Rhinolophus ferrumequinum: one gene and its partners. The main gene of each other region encodes a partner of the protein of the gene in region 3 in a complex. Links are inferred from orthologs where the notes say so. Each region holds a gene or a part of one and is shown on either strand. Other genes may lie near its edges.

Region 1 (7,552 bases), on a different chromosome or scaffold from region 3:
AGGAGTTAACAAAACATACATCTGTTAGAGGATCATCTGCATCGAGGTTGGCAGCGGGAATCTGGTCTAACCGAGGCTTCTTTGACACAGAAGAGGAGGTTGTATGTTCTGGAAAAAAACAAACATCACTTCGCTTACTGAAACAAATACTGTACTTCTTAAAACATTTTAGGGACGTGGGCACAAAGAGCTTAGACTATAACCATCATGACAACAGGGATCAAAACCATGGTGCCTGGCAAATAAATCCTTGGTAAATATTTGTTGACAGAATTAATGAAAGTATTGATTTTAATATGGGAACTGCAGCCTCTCTCAGGGGAATTTAGAGAATAGTTTACATATGCTGGAAATATAAAAGACATTATATTAATAACTGATGTCACCTTCCTATAGCCAGTGACAAAAATGGGAAAATTTCATAGACTGAAATCACGGGGCTCCAAAAAGTGTGGCTCTTGTAAATAACCAATAACTCCTTGATCTGAACTGAAACAATGGCTGCTAAATAGCCCCAATCAACCTTTTCCTTCTGATATAGAATCATAAAAAGATGGACCTGAAATTGACCTCATTATCACTTCTCATCATTCAAGAAAGTTTTGCAGGCCATACCAATATTTAAAAGAAAACAAAAGACATAATCTATTCCAATTACCCCATGAAAGAAAAACTACTGTCAACATAATTTTATGAGACAAATGTCGGGGCAGTGTTTGTACCTCGGGTTGGACGATCTCTATTTTTTTCTCTTGCAGCAGCTCTCTCCCTCTCTTCCAACTCTCGCCTGAAGTCACGGTTCCGAACCTCTTCAGGGGCATCCTGAGTGGTCTGTCTAGAAACAAACCAGGACAAAAGTGTTAAAAAACAACCCCAGGATGTAGCAATGGAAGATAATTCACAAAAAGCAACTTTGTCCTCGAGTCCCTCAAGTATGAAAGAGGGAACTGGACAAAATTATTATCCTAATGTGAAGGTTATTAACAGGCATCCTTGTGATATTTCCAGATTTCAAGAAGCCCAAACTGAAATCATGTATGTCCCCGTAAGGCTGCAGATTGATTAAAATGTCTTTACTTTTTTGTTAGTATGTTAACTCAGGTCCTGCTACAGGAATACTTTTGATCTCATATTGATTAGTAGTAATAGTGCATGGTCCCTCTGAGTTAATATATTAGTTACTGTTTTATCTACATACAGAAATTCCTGGTTAAACAGGAATTTCTACATACAGAAATTCCTGGTTAAACAGGAATTTCTGCTTAAGGAATATCTGCTAGTATTTTACAATCACAGAACATAATTTTAGTGTTATACACTACTGCATTCTACTCCCATGAAAATAGATAACTTAAGCAATGTAAGCTAAACATGCTACTATCTCGTGACCATACTATTTAACAGATTTGATTTTGCTTTGTGAACACGAAAAAAATGAGTCTTCATTACCTGTATTTTATCTTTGTGTGAGAAGGTAGGTCTCTACTTGAATATTGCTTTGAGAGTTGGCTCAAATCACCTTCTCCTTTTCCTCTTCCACCTCTTGCAGGTTCAAAAGTTGGCCTAGCTGCTGTTGTCATCTTTTACGCTTTGAAGAAAAATAATATCACATTATTTCCCATATGGCAAAATCTCATTTTATAAAGTATTAATCAATATTCACCCTTGTGAAGTAATTTCCACAGCTCATTCCCCAAAACTTACTTAAATAACCTCAAACAAAAGTTCCACGGGGGAAAAAAATGAGGTTCAGGGAGGTACAAGGAATATGGCTTGTTAGGAAGCTCCTATCTGGTACAAAAAATTCTAGTCACGAAGATCTGAATTTGTGTTCCCGTTCTCCTTCTGGTTCTGTGGCCTTGAGCAAGTCACCAAGCTTAAGTTTCTCTCATCTGTGGAATGGGGATATTCGTCATAGAATTATTATGTGATTTGCCATGGCAAAACTCTTGTAAAATATGATACTGCCATGACTGAGTCTTAAAAATTCTCAACTCAACCTTACTCCACCAGACTCCTTAAAGTTCGCATTTTATCTATTAGGTTGGTGCAAAAGTAACTGCGGTTTAAAAGATTAAACATTGCAAAAACCGCAATTACTTTTGCAACAACCTACTAAACCTCACACAACAGAAAATAGGCTAGTAACTACAAAAACAAAAAGAGTATTTTAAAAATCACAAAAATAATACCTTAATTACAATTACTGAGTGTCCTGGAGAAAAGTGCTAAACTTCAATGACAATTACATGGGAAGAATTCTCCAACAACCTTCTGTTGACCCAACTTTCTCTTACAGCAGCCAACGTAATATAAAATCAGGTCTTTTGTAGGTTATAACTTAAGGAACGCTCATAAGACAGGAATCTCACCCCCAAAGAATTGTGATAAGATCAGAGACTCGTTCTTTACGTTACTTTTGGTTTTGAATAGTCGAAAGAATACCACACCCAGCAGATGTGGCTACTAAAATCCCGGTAAGCGTCAGAAAACCAAGTGCATGGAGGAAGTTGGGGTAACTAACTGGTAGTATACGTCTCTAGATTTTAAAAAAAAAGGTAAAAAGATGTGTCCAGTGGAGGAGAAACAGGGTTTCCTGCCGCTGGGGGCGCCGCTGCCTCCCACACCCCCTCCGCACAATTGTCACTCTGGCCACCCGGGAGTTCGCCTTCGGGAGGTCACCAGGAACTCGCTGACTCTTCCCCTTGCCCTACCCCGCGATCGATGCGAGGCCCAGACCCTGCTTAACGCGGTCTGTAGCGTTGCCTCGGCGCTGCACTCTCCGGGGCCCCCGGGACTGGAGACGCGCCCACAGGTGCAGAGCTCCACCCCCCGCCCCCAGCTCCAGGGCCTGCTCCGCCCGCGCTCGGTTCTCCGTCGGCGACTCCGATCCAAACCGCCCTTTCCCGCCCCAGTCGGATAACGAAGACAATCTGCTATCTTCCCACCGCTCACGTTGGCCGAGATCCGATGCAGCAGCCGTCGAAGGGGATTCAGACACCATTACCACTCCTGACTCCCAGAATCCTCTGCGCCAGGGGCCAATGCCGATGACCCGGAAGCGAACCGCAAGCACTTTAGCCGCCCTTCAGAGGCGGAAGCCTCGACCAATCCTCAGAGACCGAGGTGGTGTCGGCGTGACGACAGCAAGGGGCAGGGTCGAAACAGCCCAGGGGGCGGGCGTTTGAAATCCGTGCTTTAGAGCATACCCTAAACATGATTTTATACCTTCAAGAACCAATTACTTAATGTCTCTTCCGTCTTTTCCTTCCCCGACCCCCTCCCAGACTCCTTCATTCCGGTACTGCGTGGACGGAAAGCCCCGGGTAGCCGACACCACGTCCCCGGCTAGCGAGAGAGAGCGTAGAAAAGGATTACACCCAACTGTTTAAATCCAACGGCTCCTGCTGCCTTTCTCCTGATCTAGACCCAACAAGCCTAGAGAGTTGGGCTACGGAAAAACTAGTATTTTCATTTAATTGGATATGAAGAAAGAACAAATATGTACGGGGGCAACCACGATCTTTATAAAGGTACCATTCCTGCCAAAATATTAGTCTTCAAAGCAAAGGTTGTATTCGTATTGTTTGGGAAAATTTTTACTTTAAAAAAAGCTAAGTTCTAGCGGGAGGGGAGATGTCACTATTAGAGATTCATTTATTAATTGAGCGTTTAGAACGGTGGGCCCAACTGCCAGGAGCACGAGATGCAATTATTATAAGATGGCTACTCAGGCGTCAGGTGAAGTTTTCAAAAGACAACGAACAGGAAAAAAAAGCATGAATTGTTCTTCCGTCTCTCCTCCGCCCCCTTCTGCCTCCCCCCCCCCCCCAAAGAAAAACACTCTGGGGGCAGAGATCTGGTTTGCTTAGTTTATTTTGGTATCTCATCACTTGGCTATAGTAGATCCTCAATAAATGGTTAAACAAATGAAAATTCAGCTCCTTCAACTTAGTTTCAAATGTAAAAGAGCTTGTAAAATTAAACATCAAAATGATTTTATTTTCCCAGAACTCTGAAACTTTCAAATGGAAAAAAATAAAAAGTAGACAAACTCCCTTTCTCCATAAAGTTCAAGATGTAAATCTTGATTTTTTTCTTACTGAAGGTATTACTCAAGTGTCACACATTTCAGTAAAGGACACTATTATACCATTACTTAAACCCAAATCCCAAGGCTTCTTAAATTCCTTTCTCTTCACTCTTCACATCCATTTCCTTTGCAAGTCTTGCCAATTCAACTTCCAAAATATACCCTAAATTTCATTCTACTGCCAATATCCCAGTCCAAGCCACCGTCATTTTCCACATGGATTGTTACTGCCTCCCAATGGATCTTCCTGCTTCCACCTTTGTCCTACATTCAATTTTGCATGTAGCAGTGAGAGTGATATTTTAAAATTATGAATCACATAGTGTGACTGTTCTGCATAAAAATCCATTACAGTTAGAATAAAAATCATATTTCTTACTGTGGCCTGAGGACCCATCAGGCCGCCCCTCCTGCCTACCTCCCTGACTTCACTTCTAATCAGTCACTTTCTTTCACACTAAGTTCTAGCACAGCCAACTGGGCATCTCTGTTTCACAAACAAGGAAAGTCTCCTTTACACTAGCTTTTCTCTACTGCCTGTGCTCCAAGATACCTATATTTCCATCCTTCCAGTCTCAGTCCAAATGTCACCTCCTCAGTGAAGTTTTCCCTGACATCTACGTTTGCATCCCTACTCCTCCAACACACAAATATTGTCACATCACCCTGTTTTATTTTTTTCATAATACTAAACCTACCTGAATTTGTTCATTATTTGTTTATTGCCTTATTTATTGTCTGAAAGGCGGCATAGCAAAGTCATTAAGAGAAAGAAACCTGTAGCCTGACAGGCTTGGTTCTAAATTCCAGTTCTGCCCTTTCCTAGCTGTGTACCCTTAGGCAAGTTGTTTTCCCTTTCTGTGCCCTCAGTTTCCTCGTATAAAATGGGAAAATTCTACACTGTACTTCATAATGTTATTATAAGGATTAGTTGAATTAATATTTGTAAAGTGCTTAAAACTGTCTCAGCAAACAGTACTTGCTAAATAAATGTTAGCTATTATTATTATTAATATTATTTTTATTATTGTCTATCTTCCTATATTAGAACATAAGTTCCAGAAAATCAGGAACCTTGTCTCTCTTGTTCACTGGTGTATCCTCTGCATATAGAACAGTGCCTGGCACATAATAGGTGCTGAGTAAGTATTTGTTGAATGAATGAATGATTGATGCACTATGAAGTGGAGGAATGAAGTAACAATGACAAGGTGGTGACACAATTATAGAAAATACCCCTGATTTTTGTGTTCCAACTGCCTTATCAACCCTGAGCCAATCACCCTGATTCATTTAACTACTGGCCCACAGCCTAATTTTTTGATCATTATCCATGGTTAAATAACCACACTTGTAATTTACCAGCAGTGGTATAATTAACACCAACATGCAATATAATCAGTCCACAAAATTAAAAGTTTTGACTTAAATGCTCTGAAAGTATTAATAAGAAAAAGAAACTAATTTTTTTTTACTTAAGTGATTGTAAAGTACTAATAAGAAAATGAAACTGTAAAGCTTTTGACTAAAATGATTTGAAAGTCTTTGAAAAAGAAATGAAAAGTAAGTTTACTAAAACTTTAAAATTCATCCTTTCAGCTACGCTTGCTGGCAAAAATCATTTATTACCTCCCAAGAATTCTCATTTTAAACCTATTACCACAAAAATCTAGTTGAGCCCTTAATTCTGCCTGCCAGTCCTCTTATATTGTCCTAATTGTTTATTTTCTCACTCTGCAATAATATGATTTCTCACATTCCTCTCTTTCCTCAAATCTGTATGCCTCTTCTACCCTCTTGGCCTTCCTCGTCCTCTTTCCCAAGAGCGGACAATCGTCTAACTTTTCAGGGAAAATAAAAGCTCTTAAACAAGGATTCCTCATCTGCTCCCCAGCAGACCTACCGAGCTGCCTTTGACTTTTCCCATGCCCTCAGCTTTCTATGTGTTAGAGGTGAGGTGACCCAAACCCTCTCCCTTGTGCTCTGGGTCCCAGTCCCTCTAGTCTGCTTAGTGACTGGCATCCTACTATATTTCCTGTCTCTCATAATCTATTAATCCATCCCTTTCAGTTCATTCCTACCAGTTTTTGGATATGGTGTAGTACATATTAACCTTAAAAATTGCTCCTTCGTTTTAACATGACACGGTTGTATTTTAATTCAATGTGAAAAGAATGTTTTGTATAATTATGATAGCAAAACTGACTATTCTTATAGCAGGATGTAATGTAGGAATTCTGGTTTCAAAGCCTACACAAACACTACGTCCAGTTGAATTAAACACCCCAAAGGAAAACAGTAACTGAAGAAATCGAAGAAGAAAATTTAAGACTATTTATACAAACTAGGGTTTGTAAAAGATAAACTCCAGATTAGCAGGTGAATTCTGTAATGTGTCTAACATATGAAGGATTATGACTACCCCACTACTATTAATACACATAATATAAAAAATACAAACAACCCAATAAAAAAATTGGGCAACGAATGTAAACAGGCTATTCAGAAAAAGCAATTCCAAATAGATAATAAACATGAAAGACTCAAGCACCCCATTAAGAAAATGAAAGCAAACTAACAATTATCACATTATAGCATTAGTTTGTCAACAATTTTTAAAAATTAATAATACTGTTAGATGGGATTGGGTGCAAAGGGGATCCAGTCAGACAGCAGGGAGGCATTGACTCCACTTCCCTCACAGTCAAAGTCAAAGGTGCTCACAGTGACTTACAAGGTTCTCCTCAACGTGTTGACCTCTCTTGATCATGCCTCTCTAGGCTACACGCCTTCCTAGTGTTGTTTGAGCATAGCTCCTGCATTAGCTATTTCCCTGGCTAAGAACACTCTTGCCGGTCTTATTCAAGTCTTTGTTCAAATGAGGTCAGCCAATTAAGACAGCCCTGTTTATAGCTGGCAACCCTCCTCCACATTTGTCCTGTAACATCCTGCACTCCTTATCTCGCTTATCCTGCTCTACTTTTCCTTTAGCACGTATCGTTTTCCATGATCCTATAAATTTACTTATGTTTATTATTTCTTTCTCTACCTATCACATGCAGGATATAAATTCTACAAGGGAGGAGTCTGTTTTGCCCAGTGATGTAGTCCCCACATCTAAAACAATGTCTGGCACCAACAGGCGCCCATAAACGTTTTACAAATGAGTGACTAAATGAATGAATAAATGAATGAATGAATGAGTTTTAACTGGGGGGTGGAAATCACATTTTGATGTAAAAAGGATTGCCTTAATAGTTTTATATTTTAAAGGAGAAAAAGGTAATTTATGTTCTACTAGTCTGAAATTCATATTTGAAAAGAACATACACCAAGACCCAGAAAGATGATTTTTCAGGAAAGAATCTCTAAATGAAAAATCATGTGATTATCAGGCATATATGTCCCTCAAAATTCTAATTCAATCAGCCCCACCCAATCCAATCACAACTCTAATTT
Region 2 (8,101 bases), on a different chromosome or scaffold from region 3:
TCCTCAGAAGTGCATTTGCTACTTCCCACTGAGATCCTCACTGCTTCTTTTCCAGTCAGTTCAAGGGTAACTTTTGATTTCCCCTCACCATCCCTCACTTTACTCCTCCACTTCAGTCTTTCAACAGATATTTACAAAGCACCTGTTCTGTGCCAGGTACTGTTCTAGGTGCTAGGGAGAAAGCAGTAAACAAAACAGACATAAACACCTGCTCTTCTGGAGCTTACATTCCAGTTGCGGGACACACAATAAATAAAATACATAAAACAGGATATGTCAGGTGGTAATAAATTATGTGAAGGAAAATAAAGCAGGTTAAGGAGCTGCAGAAGGATGGAGAAGGGAGTGTCACTGAGTTGATATTTGAGCAGAGACCAGAGGAGATGACAGAGAAAGCCATGAGGATGTGAGAAGGAAAAGTGTTCCAAGCAGAGAGAACAGTAAGAGCAAAGGTACTGAAGCAGGACAAGATCTGGTATGTCTGAAAAATATGAGGAAAGTCAACCTGACTGAACTAGAGATATGGATGTAGAGAGGGGTGGTAAGAGATTAATTAGGAGAGCTGGGCAGGAGCCACAAGGGAGACCATTGAGACAGTAACTGCAGCAGTCCAATGCCAGTAGTGATGCTAGTGGCTCAGACCAGCACAGTGGTAGTGGCGACGGGGAGAACTGTTCCGATTTTAGAGGTATTTTGAAAAGGAATATGATAGGATTCTGCTGAAAGATTGTATTGTGGTATGAAATAAAGAGGTGCGTCAAAGGTGGGTGCTAAGGTTTTTAGGCTGAGTAAGAGAAAGGATGGCTGTAAATGTGATCAACTGAGACGTGGAAAGCTGAGCAAGGAGGAAAACTGAGAGAAATGAGGCCAAAGCTGGAAGAGGATGGAGAGTGAAAGTCTTTTTTTCTTTTGTATGATGAAAGAAACCAGAGGACATCTGAAGGCTAATAAGAAAGTTCAGTCAAAAGAGATGGTGGTCTGGGGCTGTAGGAAAGTCAGGCTCCAAAGCACTGCAAAAAACAAACTGTGAATGAAGAGGTGAAAAGAGGGTCCATGGGTATGAAAGACAGACTTGGTTACTTATGTAGACACACCCGTTACCTCCCATCATCACTCCCGCAGTTCTTTATATTCGCTCCAGATACACCATAAATTGCCTCACTGTCGGACACGCACCACATTGATTTCCTGCCATCATGCCATGGTCTGGGTCATTGCTGCCATTAGGAGTACTCACCCTGCTCTCCCTTTTCTCACTAAACCCTACCTGTCCTTCCAGGCCTCACTCCTACCACTCTGGTTTCAGTCTCCATCACTACTGGTCACCTTGCTTCCACCTCTGCTTACTTAGTCTGTTCTGTTCACAGCAGCCAGAGAAATCCTGTCAAAACATAAGTCGTGTCCTTTCTCTGCTCAGAGCCCTCTCCTCACTCTCATCTCATTCAGACTAAAATCCACGTCCTCACCACAGCCCACAAGGCCCTGCCTAGTTCAGCCTTCCCACTGATGAGCTCATCTACGACCCCTCCCTCTCCCTCATTCCACTTCGGTCACATCAGTCCCCTTGGTGTTCCTCAAACACTCCAAAGGATGGAAGGACGGGTAAGTAGTATGCATCATCACACACACACACACACACACACACACACACACACACACACACTTCTCCTGCTGTGTGCAGGGAGGCAAGCCTGTCAGACAGGGAAAAGAGAGGCTGGGAGAGGAGGGGGGCGAGGGGCCAGCTCACTGTCTCAGCCTGGGGTTCACTGTCTGTGCCTTCCCCGTTGGGAGTGCATCCTTTCTGGATCATGGGGATAGCGAGCGTGGGGTCAACACCTGCATTCTCGCTCTCCTCCAGAGACTTCTTGGATTCTAAGGAAGAATGGGAGCAATGAGGTTCCACCCTTCCCTTCCATTTTCCTCCTGTTCTTCCTTTACTGGGGCAAGGCAAATGGGGGATCACTCACCCTCAATGAGCTCCTTCACAGCCTGGGACAGCACCCCATCCCCCATGGCCTCAATATCTGTGGATGGCCCCGGGGCCTGGGTTGGTGGCTGCCTGCGATGGCCATACTGGATCAAGGGGATGACGAGTTCCTTGGGGGCTTCTGAGGGCTTTACACTAATGTGAACACAGAAGGGTGAAGTTGGGAGAGTAGTATGGTCAGTGGGTTGAGCCACACCCCTTCATTCAGAGAAAACACAAGAGCCAAGCTCACCCCAAGTCCCATGGACAGCGCCCTCGGTTCTGTCTGGCTCTCCTGTTAGGTCTCTCATGGTACTTTCTTTGGATTCTCTCCTCCACCCCCAACTCCTAATTGTGCCTTTGGGGAATCAGTCCTCAGTCGATGGCTTCCACAATGACCCACAAATCACTATATTCAGCCTGTATTCTCTCCCCAGCTCCAGGCTCCACACCTGCCTCCTTGGCTGGTTGATTTTTTTCTGGAAATCCCTCCCTCAGACTCTCCTTTCCGGATTAAGCTGACGAAGGCATCCTCCAACCTGAATCTGTCGCTCCATCCCGTTTCCCCGTATCAGAGAAGCCCCACCGCATCAGTTGAGACATTAGGGGTCCTGTAATTCTCTCCTCTTTTCCTTCTCTCAGAACGCACACATCTCAGGGTTCCTAAATCCTAAAGACACTCCCTCTCAGGAATCCATCCTCTCTTGTCAATCCCCACGGCCATCAGGCTCAATTTCTCCACCTGTCCTACAAACTCCCGCCTTCTCGCCTCCACGAATTTCCTCTGGCGGTATTCAGGCTTTCCAGGTCACTGTCACCGAGACAATCAACTCAGATTGCACCCTCCCACTTGCACCCAGCGCACCGACTTCCAAGGGATGAACGACTCGGCGCTTCACCTCTGCAACTCCCTCCCTTCCACGGTCTTCAAGAAATCCTTCTCCTCCGGGGCCGCACCCGCGCCGTCTCCTGGGCCCGCCAGCCGTCTCCGGGCGGACGTGCGACTAAAGCTGAACGAAATCGGGGCAGTGGAGGCTCCCGCCGGCCGCAAAACACCTTCTTCCGCATCCGCCATCTTGCCCCTCTTCCCAGGCTGGTGAGCTGCTTGCTGGGAAGGTTAGTTTGGGCTCGGGTTGCCCGGGACCTGACAACTAGCGCTAGAACTACCTACCTTCCCACAAAATACTGCGGCATCGACAGGTGAAAGCGGGCGGTGGGAAGCAATTGTCGCCCTTTTTACTTCATAGGCGCGCGTCGCGCTAAGCATATAGGGAAATGTAGTTCTTCAGGGAGGTAGGCGTGGTAGGAGGCTGATTCATTCTTAGCAGATATTCAGTACTTCGTGTAGGCGTTTGACAAGTATTTATTGATCGCGTACTGTGTACACGTTACTGTGCCCTACTGGTGTGAGAAGTGTAGGCAAGATAAATCATTTAAGAAAAAGTGTGAATGCCAGTCGTGTACAATAAAAAATAATAATAGAGCCATGTAAATGGTGCCTACCGATACCAGATTTAATACTGGACAAGCTCTGGATTCAACTATTAATAAAAAATGCACCTCCTCCTTTCTAGAGGCTCATAGTGCAGTGGGGAGCAATGACACTTAAACAAATATTTAAAAAATATTTCCTATCAACATTAAATATGTTGTGAGACCCAGATCCTAAGTCTTCAAAAGATTAATTAGACAGGTTCCCCTTGTGTATGACCTTAAGAGTTAGTAAAGTAGAAGACTGTTACTTAAACAAATAGTCACAAGAAAGAATACTACAAATATACAAAAAATTCATCCCAAAGAAATCATTGAAGATGTGCAAAAGGATTTTTATATGAGATTCATCATACTATTATTGTAGCAAGATCTTGAAGACCTCTTAAATGAACAACAGAAGAGGATGAGGCAAAAAGAATTATAGTACATGTCTTGGATGGAAATCATATACTTGAGCCTTTAAATGTGAAGCTATAAATATAATGAAATGAAATGGAAATGTTTGGAAAGTAGAATCTTATGGTGGGGTCAGAGGATTGTCTTGAAAACAGGAAGCCCATTATTTGATCAATCTCGTGGCCATGTTTCCAGGCTTAGAATCCCTAGGCATCCTGGAAAGGGCCCTGGAATCTCGAGAGAGAAGCCACTGTGGTTTTCAAAATATACAACAACAAACATCTTTTAATTTTTATTTTGAAATAATTTTAGAATTAAAAATAGTAAGAGAGTTCCTGTATATTCTTCATCCACATCCACCTACAGGATAGTTAACAAGATTATGTGCTCTCTTGAGGGTGGTTACACTTCAGGGGTCTGAAAAAGAGACATTTCAAAGGTGTATTAACTTAGATGCACAGAAACAATGGATGGGGCTTGCTTAAGGCCAAGATAAACCTTTTACTAAAGAAGTTATATGCCTGGGATGAGACTACCCACCATAACCTACCCAATTAGGAATTTATGATCAATCACCATATGAGGTTACTTTTGATTAGATTTATTACAGTGCCCCTCCCTTTTTTGTCCAAAAGGGCTTTGTGAGCAATTAAGAGGAGGCAGGTATCTCCATGATAGCAACAAGCAAAACAGGAAAGAAACAGCTAAGGAGAGCCCATCTAAGGGGTTACTTCAGAGCAAGCTGCAAAGACTACCCTCAAAGCTTACCTACCCCATACAAAAGGCCTGACTTTAATTGGATAAAACTATGGAACAAATTATGCCCTACGGCATTGTCAAAAATTAGTTTAGATTAACAGCTGGGTATGGTATCAATATAGGCATACCAACCAGAAATTAAACTAGGAGATCAGGGAAAGAAACAAAGAGAGCCTGGATAAAAGTAAGGTCATTTCAGTGTGTCTGTGCTCATGCCTAAGGCTGAACCCTCTGAAGAGGTTCGTGAGGCAGAAATAGATTTGACTAAATTAGTATAATCAAGTCACTAAACAAACAAGCAAACAACAACAAAAATGGGCAGATCAGTACCTAGAGTTGCTACAATGTTATATAAAATGTCCAGTTTTCAACAACGAATTATGTGACATGCAAAGAAACAAAAAGATGTGACCCATATGTGGGGTGGGGTGGGGAAAAGGAAACAGAAACTGCCTGTTAGAGGGCCCAAATGCTGGACCTAGCAGATAAAGATTTCAAAGTGGTTATTATACATTTGTTCAAAGAAGTAAAAGAAATCATGTATAAAGACTTAAGGGAAGGTATGATACTGTGTTTCCCCAAAATATGAGCTAGCCGGACAATCAGCTCTAAAGAGCCTTTTGGAGCAAAAATTAATATAAGACCCGGTATTATATTATATTATATTATATTATATTATATTACATTACGTTATATTATATTGTATTATATTATACCGGGTCTTATATTATAGTAAAATAAGACCAGGTCTTATGTTAATTCTTGCTCCAAAAGACGCACGAGAGCTGATTGTCCAGCTAGGTCTTATTTTCGGGGAAACACGGTATGTAACAGTATTTCATCAAATAGAAAATGTCAATAAAGAAATAAAATTACCAAAAAAAAAATGACCAAATGGAAATCCCAGAGTTGAAAAGTACAATAACCAAAATGAAAATATTTCACCAGAAGGGCCAATAGTAGATTTGAACTGGCAGAAAAAAATAATCAGTGAACTAGAAGAGAGATCAATACAGATTATGCAATCTGAAGAACAGACAGTAAAAGGAATCAAGAAAAACGAACACAGCATCAGAGAAATATGGGACACCATTAGGTTCACTGACATATGTGCAATGGGAGTATCAGAAGAAGTGGATACAGGGCCAGCCCGGTGGCTCAGGCGGTTAGAGCTCCATGCTCCTAACTCCGAAGGCTGCCGGTTCGATTCCCACATGGGCCAGTGGGCTCTCGACCACAAGGTTGCCAGTTCAATCCCTCGACTCCCGCAAGGGATGGTGGGCTGCGCCCCCTGCAACTAGCAACAGCAACTGGACCTGGAGCTGAGCTGCGCCCTCCACAACTAAGACTAAAAGGACAATAACTTGAAGCTGAATGACACCCTCCACAACTAAGATTGAAAGGACAACAACCTGACTTGGAAAAAAAGAAAGTCCTGGAAGTACACACTGTTCCCCAATAAAGTCCTGTTCCCCTTCCCCAATAAAAAAAATAAATAAGTGAAAAAAAAAGAAGTGGAGACAGAGAGAGGAGCAGAAAAATTATTCTAAGAAATAATAGCTAAAAACATTCTAAATTTGGTTAATGAACTTTTAATCCACATGTTCAAGAAGCTTAATGAACTCCAAATAGGATAAATGCAAAGAGATTAATACCCAGACATATCATAGTCAAAATGTCAAAATCCAAAGAGAAAACATTGCAAGCACAAATGTAATTGCAGAACAAGCTCAAAATGGTCCTATCCTGTTCAAGGAGATACTGAGTTGCTTTTCAGAGACTACAGACCAAGACTGCAAGTCGTGCAGTCAGGGCATGTGCAGAGGAGAGAACTTTAGCCTCCAGCTGCACCTGGAACCAAAGTCTTGTCCCCCAACTCATGGAATCAAAGAACCAGGACATAACCGGAACTTGAACACCGGAACACTTTCAGAAGCCAAGGGCCCATTGTCCAGGAAGATCCGGTGTTGATGCCCCTTTACCATCAATGATCAAGATCCAAGGTCCTCCAATTAAAACTTGCCCCATCAGAACTTCCACATACCTGTTCCCCCTTGCCCCTTAAAAACCATTGGCCTGGTCCAGCGAGCAAGATGGCATTGAAGCACCACGAGGTTTTCCATCTTCTCATTTGGGCGCCTTCTCAATCAATAAACCTTTCCTTACTCCAAACTCTATGATGTTTTGAGTTTTGTCCAAGCATCAGGCACACGGATTTCGGTCTGGTAACCAATGAGAAAAATCACTCTTTACATACAAGGTAACCCCAGTAACATTATAAGCTGATTTACTATCAGAAGCAATGGGTTCAGTAGACAGCTAAAATCATTCTTAATGTGAAAGTTTGAATAGTTTCTATCCAAGATCAGAAACAAAACAACAATGCTGCTCTTGCTACTTCTATTTAATATTGTCCTTGAAGTTCTAATCAGGAAAGATAGACAAGAAAAAAGAAATTAAAGGTATCCAAATAGGAAAGGAAGAAGTAAAACCATCTCTATTGCAGATGACATTCTATAGAAAATTCTAGGAATCCACTAAAAAGCTATCAGAACTAATAAGCAAGTTTGGCAAGGTTACAGGATTGATCAGTATACAAAAATCAATTGTATTTCTATAAGCAAAATAAAAATGAAATTAAGAAAATAATTCCATTTACAAAAGCCTTAAAATAATAAAATACCTAGAAATAAATTTAACAAAAGAAGTGTAACAAATGTACTGTGAAAACTACAAAACATTGTTGAAAGAAATTACAGAAGACCTAAATAAATGGAGAGACATCCAACATTGACTTGTGCTAGATTCTCAGGCTGACCCTGTCCATTGCTCTCCTGCAGCTCCCATCCTATTAAGCTATCCTCTCCCTCCCCAAGGTTCCTTAAGCAAGTCTCCAGCTCATGGAGTTTTTAAGCTCCTCAAAAAACCCAAGGTATTTCACAACTTACTGTATTTGCCATGCTGGGAACTCCGAGTGGGAAGCAAGGGGGCCTTCCATGACAGGAGATTTTCCGTGACATTACTGTCTTTTTTATTTTTGACATTACTGTCTTTACAGTCCAACATGCTACCTGCTGGGGGATGGCAGAGGCTATGAAACCTGTTTAGTGAATCTCCATAGAAGCCACGTAGGTCCCGCCCCCTAATTTAACGATCTAGCTTTCATCTCTTTGAACTTACGTCGGGCTTTGACCACCATTTAACTACCTAGGCAGTGTCCTTTCAAGGCTTTGCCCACAGAAATAACTGTCTTTATCCCGCCTTCTTAAATAATAATCCTGGGACCGGCTACTTGAATCATCCTCCAGACCTTCCTACTTCCCTCTAAACACGCAGACCCTGCCCCTCAAATAACACCCTAGGCCCATCCGGGAGGGCGCACTCTCCAGGATTCGACTCCTGAACATTCCAGGCGCCACCCTCTAATTAGCCTACACACCTCAGCCATTCCCGACATTTCGAGCCCCGCCCACAATGCATTTATAG
Region 3 (7,130 bases):
AGGAATTTTTCCACTATAACCAACTCCATATCCTAATGGTTTCTGCCACCATTATACTACCACTTTTATTTTTATTTCCTGTAGAACTAAAACCCACCAACCAATACATATCTCACTCACTATTCCAATGAGGAAATCTAGACTTCCATCATAATACTAGTGGTGTTAAAATACGGTATGGCTCTAATTAGTCTTCCACCAAGAGGGGCACTAATAAAATATTTCATTTATTTTTAAAAATTCACACGTAAGTCCTGGCATTTCTGACAATGCCACACTCACCTTGGTTGGCAGGATACTGTTTATGACCATATGAATCTGATGCATTCTGAGGGCCCTTCTCTTTAAAATTTTCTTTCGAAGTAGGCATATGCAACACAGGACCATACTCATTCCTCAGCTTGATTGCCATTTTTCGTTTGTGACTATTTTAAAAAGTTATAAACAAAGGAATGTATTTTTAAGTACTTCAAATATAGTCACCAAAATAAATATAGTCACAGATAGACAGGAAACAAGTACTTAAATAGCTTAAGTTTGCCTAATTATGTAGAAAAAGTTTCTATGAAGATTTTAAACATTTTAAAAAGCTCAAAATTTCCAAGTACATTTCCACACTTTTATTCACAACCCACCACACAGCATCCATTAAGTCTAAGAAATATTTTAGCTTGTTAACCGATAAATATAAAACCTTTCATGATGAGTTATCAAGGGTCTAACTGATTTTAAAATATATAGAAACAAATATATCTTTTTTTTAAAAAACCTCAGAATCAATACTCTCCTTCAAATGTCTAAATACAAAAATATAGTAAAAGCTTCTACAATAACGTTTACTAGATATTTTGAAGGTTAGAAATGATCGAAGTACTTAATTAGCTCAATATTTTATAAAGAAATGCACTTATTATATTGCTTTCAAGAATAGCCTACTTTACAAATTAAATATAAATGCTTGTTTGAGGAATTAAGTAGACTTTAAAAGAAGGGTGAAGAACAAAGAAGGAACACTGCACATAATGCAATCCTAGACTGGAGCTGGAGATGTAGAACCAAAAATATGCCACCACTCAAAAATCTTCATCATACTAACGAGAAAAGATGGGAGTAGAAGTACTGGCCAGGTACAATTTCAGCTCAGCAAGGCTCTGAGAGCAGCGGGAGGGAAGCTGAAAGCACATACAAAGTGATTGATTATAAAATAAAATACCTAAATGGGACTCTCCTAATTACTGGGTATTTGTAAAATGCAATTAATTAATTAAGTAATTAACTAATTAATGTAAAAGGCCAAAAAAAAGTTAAATCAGCTTAAGTTACTCCACTCATTACTGAATAGATATTCTGTGAGTGTTAGTGTTATTCACTAAACTCTAAAGGTACCCCTCTCCCTGCTCTCTTCCCCCAATTTTAGGAGTTTAAATATTCTAGCAATTGAAAAGGAACTATACCTACCTCTCTTCATCCAAAGGCACAGGTTTTCCATTATCAGCTACAAACATGTCATGGGTCCTCTTCAACGACCGGAACACAAGTGTATGCACAGAATGTTTCTGTACTTCCTAGAAAGAAAGAGTATAATTACATATCTAGCCACAGACTACACATATCAAACCTAAATTAAAGTCAAATTGTCATTCCGTTGCATGTTTAAATATGTCAAAAACTTTGCACCGCTCACCAGAGCTACTTGTAGCAAGCTACAGCAGTCAAGTTCAAAGGACGAAGCTCCCCTTTTTTGCTAGAACCCCAAGTATAACAACTGAATTATGCCTGAGATTAGTCATTTATTCAATAAAAGTTTACTGAGCTACTATTTGTCTGGTAGGTACTGTGTCTGGTAGGTATTGGGCTGAAAGCTAACAACAGAACGACAAAAAGATGGTCATGGTCGCTGTGCTCAAGATGAAACAAGACACATTTAAATAAAAATAAGCAAAAATAACTCCACATTTTGATAAGTACTGTGAAGAAAAGAAGCAAGGGACTGAGAGAGTGGAGCAAAAACTTAGGATAGTTATGAAAGATCTCTCTGAGGTGCTATTTAAGCAGAAAGGGTGTTAGCCTTGCACAGAAAAGAGGTTAAGAACAATCCAGGCAGAAGGAAAACACCATGCGCAAAGGAATTCAGTAACAGAAAAAATGCCAGGAGGGGCAGAACAATTGTATGTGTTTGGTGAGAGGGTGAGTTATGATGCAAGATGAGGTTGCGAGGGTAGACATGGTCCAGATCTAGTTAGGGTTTTTTGTGTTTTTTTTTTTTTTAGACCATTATAGCAGTCTGTATTTTTGTTCTAGCAGCATAGGGCCAGTAAAGGGTTTTAAGTAAGAAAAGCAGGACCAACTTACATTTTTAAATAGATTAACTTGTGTGTGTGTGTGTGTGAGAGAGAGAGAGAGAGCGAGAGAGCGAGAGCGAGAGAGAGAGAGAGATGGAAGGAAGGAGACCAGTTTGGAACCAACGCAACTGTCGAGATGAAAGGTGAGGTTGGTCTGAATTACGGTGATGGCAATGGGAATGGACAAAAGTCAAGAAACAGTTCTGAGAAAAGACAGACAAGGCTTGCTAATAGAATGGTTGTTCAAGCTAGGGAAAGATGCAAAAATTCAAGAACGGCAGATTTTCCTGGGGAAGAGCTAAAAGAAGAGACAGAGTCACCACGGGAGCAAACCGCCAGTCGCCTAGAACACAGATGCACTGACACCACCCCGCAGGCGGCGAACACGGCGGTCGAACATCGACAGAAGCCGCACCTCCGAGGGCAGCGCCCCGCTCCAGTGCCCAAGGGTTAAATAAGGAGGGGAGGCGTTAGCTTAGGCTTCCCGCCCGGAGGGAACCTCCAATTCGTGCTCTCATCCCCTGAAAAGCCTCCCTCTCTCCCTGAAAACCTAGAGACAACCTGGCCTCGGCCAAACAGCCTCCCTGAGCAGCTTCTACTCTCCCTGGATCCCCTCGATCCCCCGTGCCTGTCGCCAAAGGAAAACAGTCCAGTAGCAAACTACCCCTCAGTACCAAATGTCACTTTACCTCAACCATGATGCTGCCGTGTATTTCCCCGCTCTGGCAGGAAAGATACTAATCACCAACAGAGAAACCGCCGCCACAACTGCAGCCTCTTCCGGAATCTGGCGCCCTGACGCCGGATGTGACGCAGCCCCGCACGTTGCGCGCTGGTCTCCCGCAGGCTTCCCGGGGTTGAGGCGCCGCCCTTTTTACCCTCCGGGCCGCCGCTGGGGCAGAGTCTCGGGGCTGCGGAGCGGACGCTCCGGGAACACGTGTTTTGCTAGGTGTAAAGAAAAATTGATGGAATTGGACATTTTCAAACTTGAATAAACAAACATTTCCCTGGCTCTGCTTATTCCTTAACCATAATCAGTTCCACTGATCTTGTCCCCGGAGCATACTGCATGTACTTGGAGGAGGGGGTGTGCAATCTATCAAAAGTATAGCAATGTGGATTGATCTTCCCATTTAGAAATGTATTGATTTAAATTAGTTAAACACATTAAAGTCATACTTGAAAAGGCAGTCATCCCCGAATTTGAGTGTAAGTTTTGCCTAAGAACTGATTTTCTCTAACAGTGGTCACTGATGTTAGGGCTTGCAAGGAAATATCATAATTACAAAATACATACTGTACTAGTGACACTAAATCTTGTAACTATAAAGACGGTAATAACTATACAAAAGAACATGATTTTAAATGGCAATAAAGTTATAGAAATGTAAGCAAGATTCTAATATGTCTATAGCAATATAGTAACTGTCTATTTGGGTCTATTAGCTTGTTAGTTACTATTCCTGAAAAAAAATGTAAGCCCAGACTCATAAAAACATTGTAATGACTGAGGTAGATTGGACGAGATTATGCTCCTTTTGAAAAGCTCTCTTAAATTTACAGAATTATATTATCCACTTGAAACTTTTAGAGAGCTCCGTGACCGTATTACTAGCTCAGGGATCCAAGAATTACCTATATATAGTATGTAAATTTTGTATTTATGTAAGAACCTGAATTTTGTTCTGGTGAAGGGATCTATAGGTTTCTTCGGATTCACAAAATGATCCACGACCCAGAAAAGGTTAAGAATCCCTGTCCCGGTTGACACCCGGAGCTGCCTTATTTGAGCAGTAGGGGTCACTGTTGCTCTTCATAAGGATAAGAGGATTTTCGTTACACTAAGACACGGGAGATAATACAAGTTATCATGTCTTTTGGAATTCCTGAGATCAGAAACAGAAAAAGAATACTTGGACATTTCTATCAGGAGTTTGGTCTTTAGTTGTTTATTACAATGATAAGAATGGACCCAACTGCTGAGGTAGTGTTTTCAGGTGCTTTCTGATAACACAGTTGAGAGGAAAGCTTTTGGGACTACAGGAGACAATGAGGGAGCTATTCTTCCACTTAATGCCTGGGAAGGCCTGGTACATAATTAAGCTACACTGTCAATTATATACATCTTAGTAAGCTGTGTGTGTGTGTGTGTGTGTGTGTGTGTGTGTGACGGGAAGAATGTGTTTTTTGTCACAGTTTCACTTTCCTCTATGAAGTCACATCCCATATCACAAAAACAAGAGTCAAAAGTGAACATGATCATGACTCATAATTTATCTTTATTTGTGTTTCCATTTTTGCAAAAATATGTCAGTGTTTATGCTGACAAAGTAAAAATTGCAATGTGACATTTCCAGTTTTCTTAGCTGAGTCCATATACCACCGTGTTCGATGGTAATATTTGTTTATCTGTATTTCCCAACAGACATATGGAGTGAGTATGCTGTGATATTCACTATTACACACCCAGTGTCTAGTTGACTTGCAACTTATATGCTTTCAAAATTTGTTGAACGATTGAGTAAGGAAGATGTTAAGTTTTAGACACTTAGATATGGGGTTGGAAGGCAATGAGACATAAATTTTGATGTGGGGTTGCAGATAGTAAATCTATAGGAAGGATATTGTGTGTGTGTGTGTGTGTGTGTGTGTGTGTGTGTGTGTGTAATGTGCTCACCCTTGAAAAGATGCTACTATTTCAACAACCATTAATTTAATCTTAACTCTTTTCTATGTGTAAGGCAGAGAATTGCTTGTATGAGGAGGACAGTCTGTCTTTCTAATCATAGTAAATTTTAAGAAAAGGAATTATTTTTCACTATATTTAGGTAAGTTAGTGCCAAATTTTGTTTCGTGTATTTCAAATTTAATTCTGATACTAACTTAAATGATACTAATTTATTTGTAAAAACATATGATTTGCAAAAATGGATTTATTTGGCAGAAAAACTTCCTGACATCAATAATTAAGAGGATTAAAGCATACTGATTGTATGAATATTTTACTATTATAATTTAGACATTTTTAGGCTTTCTTTTAAAATACTACCAAAAGTCAGCGTCATGTTTATAGGTTAACATTAAAAACATTCTAATTAGCCAGCCACAAAACTAGAATTCCTATTATCACCATTAGTATGCACACATTTTTGTCCTGAAAGTAGTAGTCATGCAATTGGATGAGAGAAAAAAAATAAGTGGTGTGAAATAAGAAATAATGAAACAAAGCTATCTTTATTTGTGTATGGTATGATTTTATGCCAAAAAGAAAAAAAAAAAGAAATCAACTGGAGAAACTATTGGAAACAATAAGAGAATTCACTAAAATATAATATCTGAGTACAAAAATAGTATTAAAAAATCAATAGCTTTCATATATGCAGTTAAAAATATAATGAAAAAATGATTTTATTTGTAACTTATAAATGATAAAAGCGCAAGACTTAAATAAAAAAAATTTAGAGGACATAAAAAAGATTTGAACTAATGAAAATGCATACCTTATTCTTGGATAGGAAGACTCAAAACTATAAATATATCTAATGCCCCATTAATCTAATTCTGGGCACATTTTACAGAAAATATTGTTAATTTAATTCAAGAAATAGTTACTAAATAGTGAATTTTTTTAAATGAATGTTACTAAAACTCTCCAAAATAAAATAAAAGTTGTAATATTTTACAGAGTTTTACTGCTGGTACTATATACTTCAGTACACAAACTTTTCATCATTTATTGTAATATAGCTTCTCTTTTGAAGATGCAATTTATGCTTTAAAAAAATAGTCTGATTTCTATTGATCTTAATTTTCTCTTTGGATTAGTTTAGCAAATCTGAGAGGCCATCTCAGCCTAATTTACCGAAAGATAATAGGGAGGGGGTGGATACTATTAAGGACATCAGGTGTCTCAGAGACTTGACAGAGGAATCAAATGAACAAGTTTAGAAGTTTTGATTATTTCTGCTGCTGGAGTTTGGAGCCTTTCCCTGTAGAATGCTGGTATGACCCATCTACCGGGCTAATTGACCTGATTCTCTGCTTATGTCCTTTGCAAACATTAAATTAAATTAAATTGGGTGAGAGAAGCTGATAGCGCTGACTTAGGTAAGGGTTCTACTCCTAGCTCAGTCATCTGTGGCTAGAGAGTCAGGATATCACAAGACTAACAGGACTATGCCTGCATTTTAGGGGTCATTCTATGAGAAGGGAGTAGCACTCCAACAGGTGTTCATTACATCCCTTGTCGTTTTGAGTCCCAATATGACAGAAGCAGAAGAGCATCTCTGTCTCTTCTCCAGCTCTTGTTATCAGCATTGGGTTGAACAAGAAAATATCCTATTTTTCCCATATTGCCATGCTCTGTCTCAGCTCCCTTAAGAAAAGCAAACTGTCATCTTCCAAATCAATAGAGGGAGACTCACCTCAAAAGACAGAGCCAACCCCTACTCTTCTCTGCAGCATGTTTTCCCGTCACAGACAGCTAACCAGTTACAGCTGTCACCATTACACTAATTTCAGGTCCATCAAAGCTCTGGTTCAAGAGGGCCTCCAACTCTTCAGTATTAATTTCCCCTTAAGTAGTGGTTTTCAAACTGTAGCTCAGGATGAAACAGGAAAAAAACACACAGAGACTAATAATGACTTAGTATAGTTTCTCAAAAGCTATGCCTATTTTGAAAAGAGAATCGGTATTTTATTTGTTCAGTCATTCACTCATTCATACATTCAAACCTTGTTCAACATATATTTATCAAATACCTTCCATGTTCCAGGTGTATAAAATAT
Region 4 (7,447 bases), on a different chromosome or scaffold from region 3:
ATGATGCAGGTAAGTGAAGCATCTTTCATATCTATAAAATGCTACTGTTTTCAAAGAGCTTTCGAATCCATTAATTCAGATAATCCTCAAGACATCCACAAAAGGATGGGTGCATTTGACTGATTCCAGACTAGATTCCAGACTGTACTATCTTTCAGTAACAGGAGGAGTGGACCCTGATCTTTCAGAAAGGAAAATGCATGAATAGTGCGTGTGGGGAATGAACAGAGCGAGAAATGAGGAGATCAGAATTCTGGTTTCAACTCCGCCGCTACCTGAGCCCACCACCTCAGGGAAGGCCCTTTACCAAAATGGAGTTCATTGTTCATTTGCAAACACGTGGGTTGAATGAGGTTATCTATCACAGCTCTCCAAATAAAATCAAACTCCTTATCATGGCCCACAGGAAGGCCTACACAGTCTACCGTCTGCCTGCATCTCCAACTTCATCCCCGCCATCTCCTGCTCACTCCGCATGTACCAGTTACACTGAAGCTCTTTCTGATCCTCTCAGGGCTGCACCAGCTTCTACATCACAGCCTATATATGTGTCATTCCCTCTGCCTTGATCATTCTGCCCTTTCTACATGATTGGTTCCTTCTCAACTTTTAGTCCTTTAATGTCCATTCCTTAGAGTCCTTCCCAGACAGTATTCCCTAAATAGGTCCTGTCTCCTACTCCCGGAGGTTATTTTCTTTAGCAGCACTGTCCAATGAAAATATATGGAAAGCCACAAACAAGCCAGATATATAACTTTACATTTTCTAATAGCCACATTAAAAGTTTTCAAGAAGGTGACGTTAATTTTAATAATATTTTATTTAAGCCAATATATCCTAAGTATTATCATTTCAACACATAATCAATATAAAATTAATATATTTATATTCATTTTTTTCATACTAAATCTTGGAAATCCAGTGTGTATTTTACACACATAGCAGATCTCAATGCAAACTAACCACATTTCAAGTGTTGACAGTCACATGTACCCAACGGCTAACACGCTAAACACTGCTCTACAATATTACCTGCGTACTCTTCAAAGCATTTACCACAATCTGAATTCTTGTTTCCTCACTTATTATCCTGTTACTTCCCAACAGACTATAAGCTCCACAAAAGCAAGAACTTTGTCTGCTTTGTTCAACGTCATATACTCAGTGGACACAGCACCTCGCATAGTGAGGGGTTCAATAAACATTTGTTGAGCAAATAAATGAACCTCTTCTCGCTTTGATATTCTAAGAGTCAATGAGTACCATTAACTCCAAATAGACAAACCACTCATTCAACAACTCTCCTATTTCCTTTCTTCTTTCACATTCAATTACCATCTTAAAAAGAGAAATCTCTTGGCTGTCTCTCTCCCCATTGCTTACCGTGTTTCCTGGAAAATAAGACCTAGCTGGACCATCAGCTCTAATGCATCTTTTGGAGCAAAAATTAATATAAGACCCAGTCTTCTTTTAATATAAGACCGGGTATAATATAATACTGGGTATAATATAATATAATACCAGGTATAATATAATTAATATAATTAATATAATATAATATAATATAATACCAGGTCTTCTATTAATTTTTGGTCCAAAAGACGCATTAGCGCTGATGGTCCGTCTATGTCTTATTTTCGGGGAGACACGGTACAAGTTCTGTCTAGTCTCCAAGGTCAGTTCTTTGTATAGTAGCTGAGGTAGTGGCACAAATATAACTGCTAACATCTACTAAATGTTTACTCTTTGATAAGCATTAGTCTAAGCTTCACAACAGACCTATGTGGTAAGTACCAACATTGCCTCCATTTACAGATGAGGAAACCAAGGCATAGACAAGTTAAGTCTTTTGTTCAAGGTTATAGCAGCCAGTTATTATTATAGCAAAACAAAGATTCCAAGCAACAGGGGCTCCAGACTCATGACTCTAAATTACCTATTCTCTATACTGCAGAGCTGTCTAATACAATATGAGGCCAGCTACATAGTAATTTTAGTAGCCACATCAAAGCGGTTAATAGTTACATAGTAAATAGAGACGGGTGAAATTTATTTTAAATATATTTTATTTCACCCATTATCCACAATAATCATTTAATTAAAATGGTCAATAACCAATGTTATTGATATAATTAATATGGTCGTGTAGTCAATATAAAAATTTTACTTTTTTCATACTGAGCCTTCAAATCCAGTGTGATTTTTACAGTTCCAGTACTTCTCAATTCAGACTAGTCCCATTTCAAGTGTTCAGTAGCCATATGTGCCTAGTGGCTACTAATATTGGAAAGAACAGCTCTAGTGTCACTCACAAGAAGCCTCTTTAGGAAATTAAAAGAGGGAGGAAAATTTTTGAGCTGGGAGCTAGCTCTTAATCCCAGCTCTTACTTGTTGAGTGACTTTGGACAAATCCTTTCTGCCCTCTAGGCCACCGTTTCCCCCTAAGTACCCCGAGCAAGGGGGACAAGATTCCTTGGGACCCATCCCAGGCTAGAATTCCGAACATCTCCCAACATCTGCAGTTAACATGGTGACAGCTTTCTACACTTTAAAATCAGCTTTCACATCCACTAGTTGACAGAGTCCTCAAACAATCCTACTAGATGGTCATCACTGTCTCCGTTTGATATATACAAAACCTGAGGCTCAAACAGGGCTAAATGACTTGTCCGAAAGCCACGTTAGCCTGTCAGTGGAGAAGCTGGGGCTCAAATGCAAGAAAGACCAATGCTGTCCGACCATCACCACCACAAACTCAATGACTGGAGAAGAGAGCTGAAGGTGGGTGGTGTGAAGCTAGTCTGGGGCCTTCAGAAGAGATGAAGGGACCAGGCCCCAGGGTAGGGTGAGAAGGGGCTCGAGTTTTGAGAAGGAATGAACTGAAAGAGACCAGGAGTGTCTCGAGAGGAAATGAAGTGAAATGAGAGGCTCGGATCTCAGTGGCATGAGAAGTCAGGGGATCCGGGCCCTTGACTGAGGTGAAAGGAGGTGAGATGAAGGGATTCTGGCACTGCGACCTGCCACCCCTGCCGGAGTGAGAGTACGGTCCCCCAGCCCTCTCGTCCCTCCTACCTGGTAGCTCAGAAGTTCGCCCACATCCATGGTTCCAGGCCCAGCCAACCACTGGTTCCCTCCACTCACGTCCAAACCGTGGCCCTCTTAGCAGCGGCTCCAGCCACACTGCCGAAAAGCGCCGTGAGCGGGGCCGCAGAGCCAATGAGGTAAAAGTGCGCGCGACACGTGAGCCAGCCACACTGCGGTTAAAGACAGCGCTACCGTAAAGTGCGCTGCGTTTGCGACAGTACTGCTTCCGCCCCGAGCCTGAAGGGGTGGGGAAAGAGGGCGGAGACTTGAAGGAGGGCGGTGCCCTGAGAGAAAAGACCTAAGGAGCCAAGGTTTATCCAGCGCGCCCCAAGTGCAGGGCGGAGTATTGAGTGTTTCGCAAGTGCTGTCACTTTTTTCCAGTGACTTAGACAATTTTATCCTTATTTTATCCTCATTTCACAGATAAGCAAACTGAGGCATAGAACTGCACTGTCCAGTACTATACCCCCTAACGTCATGTGGCTGGCTTCTGAGGGCTTGAAATAGGGCTAGTCTGAATTGAAATGTGCCGTAAGTGTAAAAAAAAATATACACTGGATTTTAAGACTTCTCTTGATTACGTGTTGAAATATTTTGGGTCTACTGGGTCAAATAAAATATAGTTTCACAAATTTCTTTTTACTTTTTAAATGTGGTTAGTAGAAAATGTAAATTATATGGGTGGCTCTCTTCTGTGGGACAGTTGTGGCTCAGAAAGGGTATTGTCCAAGGCCACACAACTATTACTGGCTGAAAAACTGTTGGTGATCACATTTCCCTCTTTGGGCTTCTGTTTATTCACCTATGCAAGACCCGGTGGGAACTGGATGATCTATAAAAAGGTTTCTTGTGGGAGAAAGTCGCCCATCATTGAAGCAAATCACTCCTGGGATTTAAAGAAGGGTCTACCTTCAAAGGGTGTTAAGCCTCTCCCCCAGTCCCCTTGGCCATTAGCCCCCTGCCCTTCATGTTCATATTTGTCTTAGTCCCTTCAGGCTGCTGTGGAAAAAATATCATACCCTGGATGGCTTATAAACAACACGATTTATTTCTCACGGTTCTGGAGGCTGGGAAGTCTAAGATCAGGGCGCTGGCAGATTTGTTGTCGGGTGAGGGACTACTTTGTAGCTCATAGACGGTGCCTTCTCACTGTGTCCACACGTGGCAAAGGAGGTGAGGGAGCTTTTTCCAGCCTCTTTTATAAAAGCATTAATCCCATTCATGAAGGCTCCACCTTTATGACCTAGTCATTTCCCAAAAGCCCCACTTCCTGACACTATCACCTTGGGAGTTAGGATTTCAACTTCCAAATTTGGGGAGGACACAAATGCTCAGACCATAGCAATATTTATAACCATCTTCCCCACCCCATCTTTACTATCTCCAGTTATACAGGAATTATTTTTATTCTTCAAAGGGCTAGATCCTCTCCTTTTCTGTCGGGCTACACCTCATCCAATTCTTTCTCATCCTTCACGTCTCACATGTCACTTTCTTAGAGTAAACTCAACTCACCTTTAGTCCAAGTAGGCACTCCCTTCTCATTATTCGCTTTCCTAGCACCTCCTGTACTACACATATATTTGCTTTTGTAATTTTGTACTTAGTGGTTGATTATTGTTTATTGACAGCCTCATTTGTTGGGACTCAGGCTCTGTGAGAGCAGGAATTACAGGTGTTCACCATTAAATCCTGCTACAAGAAGCCTAGCACAGTGCCTGACACAGGGGGATGTTTCACAACGAGCCTTATGGGTCGTAGTAAGGAGACTAGATTTAATTTTAGGAGCATTGGGAAGATATTGAAAGGTTTTAAGCAGAGGAGTTTTGTGATTTGTTTGTTTGTTGGTGTTTTAAGAATCACCTATGCAATCTGCTTGGAACTGAGTTATTTCGGTGTCTTTTCCCATTCTACTTAGCTGTAAGTAGGGACTGTGCCTTGTTTGGGGAGGCAGGATAGAGTCATGGTGGGGATATGCCCTTCAGAACTGACCCTTTTAGAATTATGTCCTAGTTCTTGGTATGCTGGAGCCGACTTGTATAGACAGATGTGCAAGAGCCTATGGTTACATTTTCAGGAAATTTGCAAGCAGGTTGACATCAGCTTGGTTGCTTGAAATCAGCCATAATGGGAGTGTTTAGATCATGGAAATCAACAAATGCTTCAAATCAGGGATACTGGTTTTTCAGAGAGTTGGTTATTAAACATTTACCAACACACCACTGATTCTGGCTCTAGTCAAAGTTCTACCACATCTCCCTGTGTGCCCTTGGTCAAGTTACTTTCTCTCTAAATTGCAATGCCCTCATCTGTAAGGTGACTCCTTCATTCACTCAACAAGTATTTACCGAGGGCCTACTCAATGCCAGACATAATTCTAGGCTCTGAGGATATAGAAGTTTATAAGAAAAAGTTCCTGCCCTCTTGGAACTGACATTCTAGCTGGGAAGGAAACCTAAGGAGGAGGAAGATATCATTACGATCCTTATTTTACAGGAGTGAAAACAGAGGCCCGTGACTTCACCTCTATGTTCCTGATTGACTCACCTGTAAAGTAGCGATTCAACGGAATTTACCTCATAAGATCAGGGGGAATTTACCTGAGATGCTGCATGCAAAGCCCTTAGCACAGTGCCTAGAACAGAAAAGTGCTAATTGATGTTTGATGTTCGTATTATGAGGAGTTGAGCAGGACTGGGGGGAACGGTGGGAAAAAGGAGACATTCCTTATCCTCTTTCCTTCGCAGGCATTCACATCTTGTCTGTGTGTGTTTAGAGACCAAGCCTTAAAACACAGAATTATAAGGCAAACCCCTGTGAGAACCAGGTTCGGTGAGCACCTTGCAATGGGGATAATGTGCCCTGACATGGAAGGCTTTTTCCAGCGGAGGGGCCATTTGGACTGGGTTTAAAGGATGAGGAGTGTTGCCCACAGAACATGGTGGGAGACTGGTGACCCAGGCAGAGGAAACAGCATGAGAAAATATATGGTAGTTGGACCATTTCTTGTAGACAGGGCATAGGGTGTGTGGCGGGAATGGTGGGAAATAGATAGGAGAGGGTGACTGGGGAAGATTATGGATGGGGTCGCCAGATTTAGCATGTAAAAATATAGGATACCCAGTTAAATCTGAATTTCACTTCAACAACAATGAAAAATTTAGTATAAATATGTTCCACGCAATATTTAATATCATACTAAAAACTGTTTTGAAATTGAAATTGAACTGGGCATCCTATATTTTATCTGGCAATCCCAGTTATGGAGGATGTTGAATGCCATAGTAAGATATTTCAGTTTTATCTTGATGAGAGAGTCCATTAAAAATTCCTTGGGAACCTCCCTGGGGATGAGACTTGGAGCACACATCCTTCAGGTCTCAGCTTAATGTCACCACATCAGAGGAGTCTTCCCTGACTACGAGATCTAAGACAGTTCCCCCTCCCCTCAAGATTCTCTGTCAAAATTCCTGACCATTATCTTCAGAGCACTTGAGATTTGTGTTCCTATATTCATTTGCTTTTTACTCATTTGGGATCTGTTTTCCCTTCCGTATTCTAAGCTCCAGAAGGGCACAGATTGTGCTGTTTTGTTCACCATAATAACCTCAGAATCTAACACAATACCTAGCACTTAACTGGCCCTCACTAAGTAGTTGTTGATTTAATAAATGAGCCATTCAATCTACTGATTGATTGATTGATTGATTGATTGATTGATTCATTCATTCATTCATTCATTCATTCATTCCTGGCACTAATATTATCAAATACCTTCAAATCCCTACCCCAAATCCTAACAACATGCTATTCCAATTTTAAAGGTGAGGAAATGGAAGTCCAGAAGAGCTATGTGAATACTAAGTGAAATAAGCCAGACAGAAAAAAATAAATACCTTATGATCTCATTTATACGTGGAATCTAAAAATAAAAGACAAAACAAACAAAACAGGTTCATGGATATAGAGAACAGATTGGTGGTTGCCTGAGTGGGGGTGGGGGTGGGCAAAGTGGTTGAAAGAGGTCAAACAGGTACAAATTTTCAGTTATAAAATGAATTATTCATGGGGATGTTATGTCCAGCATGGTGAGTATAGTTAATAACACTGTATTGCATATTTGAAAGTAGCTGAGAGTGGATTTTAAAAGTTCCCATCACAAGAAAAAAATATTTTGTAACTATGTATGGTGAACAGATGTTAACTCAACTTATCATGGTGATCATTTTGCAATATATACAAATATCGAATCATTACATTGTACATCTGAAACTAATATAATGTTATGTCAATTATACCCCAAAACAACAACAAAAAACTAACAAGGGAACAACAACAAAAAAAAGCTAGCTATGTGCTATGC

Evidence for each region.
Region 1: PLRG1 (region 3) and CWC15 share a complex: the UniProt entries of both Homo sapiens proteins name them as parts of the PRP19-CDC5L splicing complex. The link is inferred for Rhinolophus ferrumequinum from reciprocal best matches to the Homo sapiens genes PLRG1 and CWC15.
Region 2: PLRG1 (region 3) and GPKOW share a complex: the UniProt entries of both Homo sapiens proteins name them as parts of the minor spliceosome. The link is inferred for Rhinolophus ferrumequinum from reciprocal best matches to the Homo sapiens genes PLRG1 and GPKOW.
Region 4: PLRG1 (region 3) and CTNNBL1 share a complex: the UniProt entries of both Homo sapiens proteins name them as parts of the PRP19-CDC5L splicing complex. The link is inferred for Rhinolophus ferrumequinum from reciprocal best matches to the Homo sapiens genes PLRG1 and CTNNBL1.

What each region holds. Positions count from the first base shown.
Region 1 is NC_046294.1:65,762,750-65,770,301, forward strand, and holds the start of CWC15 (spliceosome-associated protein CWC15 homolog), read right to left. Parts: upstream 3,066-7,552; 5' UTR 2,949-3,065; intron 2,791-2,948; exon of another isoform or gene 2,715-2,790; intron 1,878-2,714; exon of another isoform or gene 1,705-1,877; intron 1,589-1,704; 5' UTR 1,581-1,588; coding exon 1,450-1,580; intron 836-1,449; coding exon 723-835; intron 109-722; coding exon 20-108; intron 1-19. UniProt on the Homo sapiens protein: Involved in pre-mRNA splicing as component of the spliceosome. Component of the PRP19-CDC5L complex that forms an integral part of the spliceosome and is required for activating pre-mRNA splicing.
Region 2 is NC_046284.1:85,590,832-85,598,932, reverse strand, and holds the start of GPKOW (G-patch domain and KOW motifs-containing protein), read right to left. Parts: upstream 3,230-8,101; 5' UTR 3,161-3,229; coding exon of another isoform or gene 3,138-3,160; 5' UTR 3,042-3,137; coding exon 2,866-3,041; intron 2,123-2,865; coding exon 1,968-2,122; intron 1,873-1,967; coding exon 1,748-1,872; intron 1-1,747. Other genes in the region: uncharacterized protein LOC117016622, read right to left, coding at 4,266-4,273, 7,564-7,689. UniProt on the Homo sapiens protein: RNA-binding protein involved in pre-mRNA splicing. As a component of the minor spliceosome, involved in the splicing of U12-type introns in pre-mRNAs.
Region 3 is NC_046301.1:25,387,130-25,394,259, forward strand, and holds the start of PLRG1 (pleiotropic regulator 1), read right to left. Parts: upstream 3,162-7,130; 5' UTR 3,041-3,161; coding exon 3,032-3,040; intron 1,566-3,031; coding exon 1,459-1,565; intron 1,173-1,458; exon of another isoform or gene 1,097-1,172; intron 426-1,096; coding exon 283-425; intron 1-282. UniProt on the Homo sapiens protein: Involved in pre-mRNA splicing as component of the spliceosome. Component of the PRP19-CDC5L complex that forms an integral part of the spliceosome and is required for activating pre-mRNA splicing.
Region 4 is NC_046306.1:18,333,038-18,340,484, forward strand, and holds the start of CTNNBL1 (beta-catenin-like protein 1), read right to left. Parts: upstream 3,221-7,447; 5' UTR 3,103-3,220; coding exon 3,073-3,102; intron 1-3,072. UniProt on the Homo sapiens protein: Component of the PRP19-CDC5L complex that forms an integral part of the spliceosome and is required for activating pre-mRNA splicing.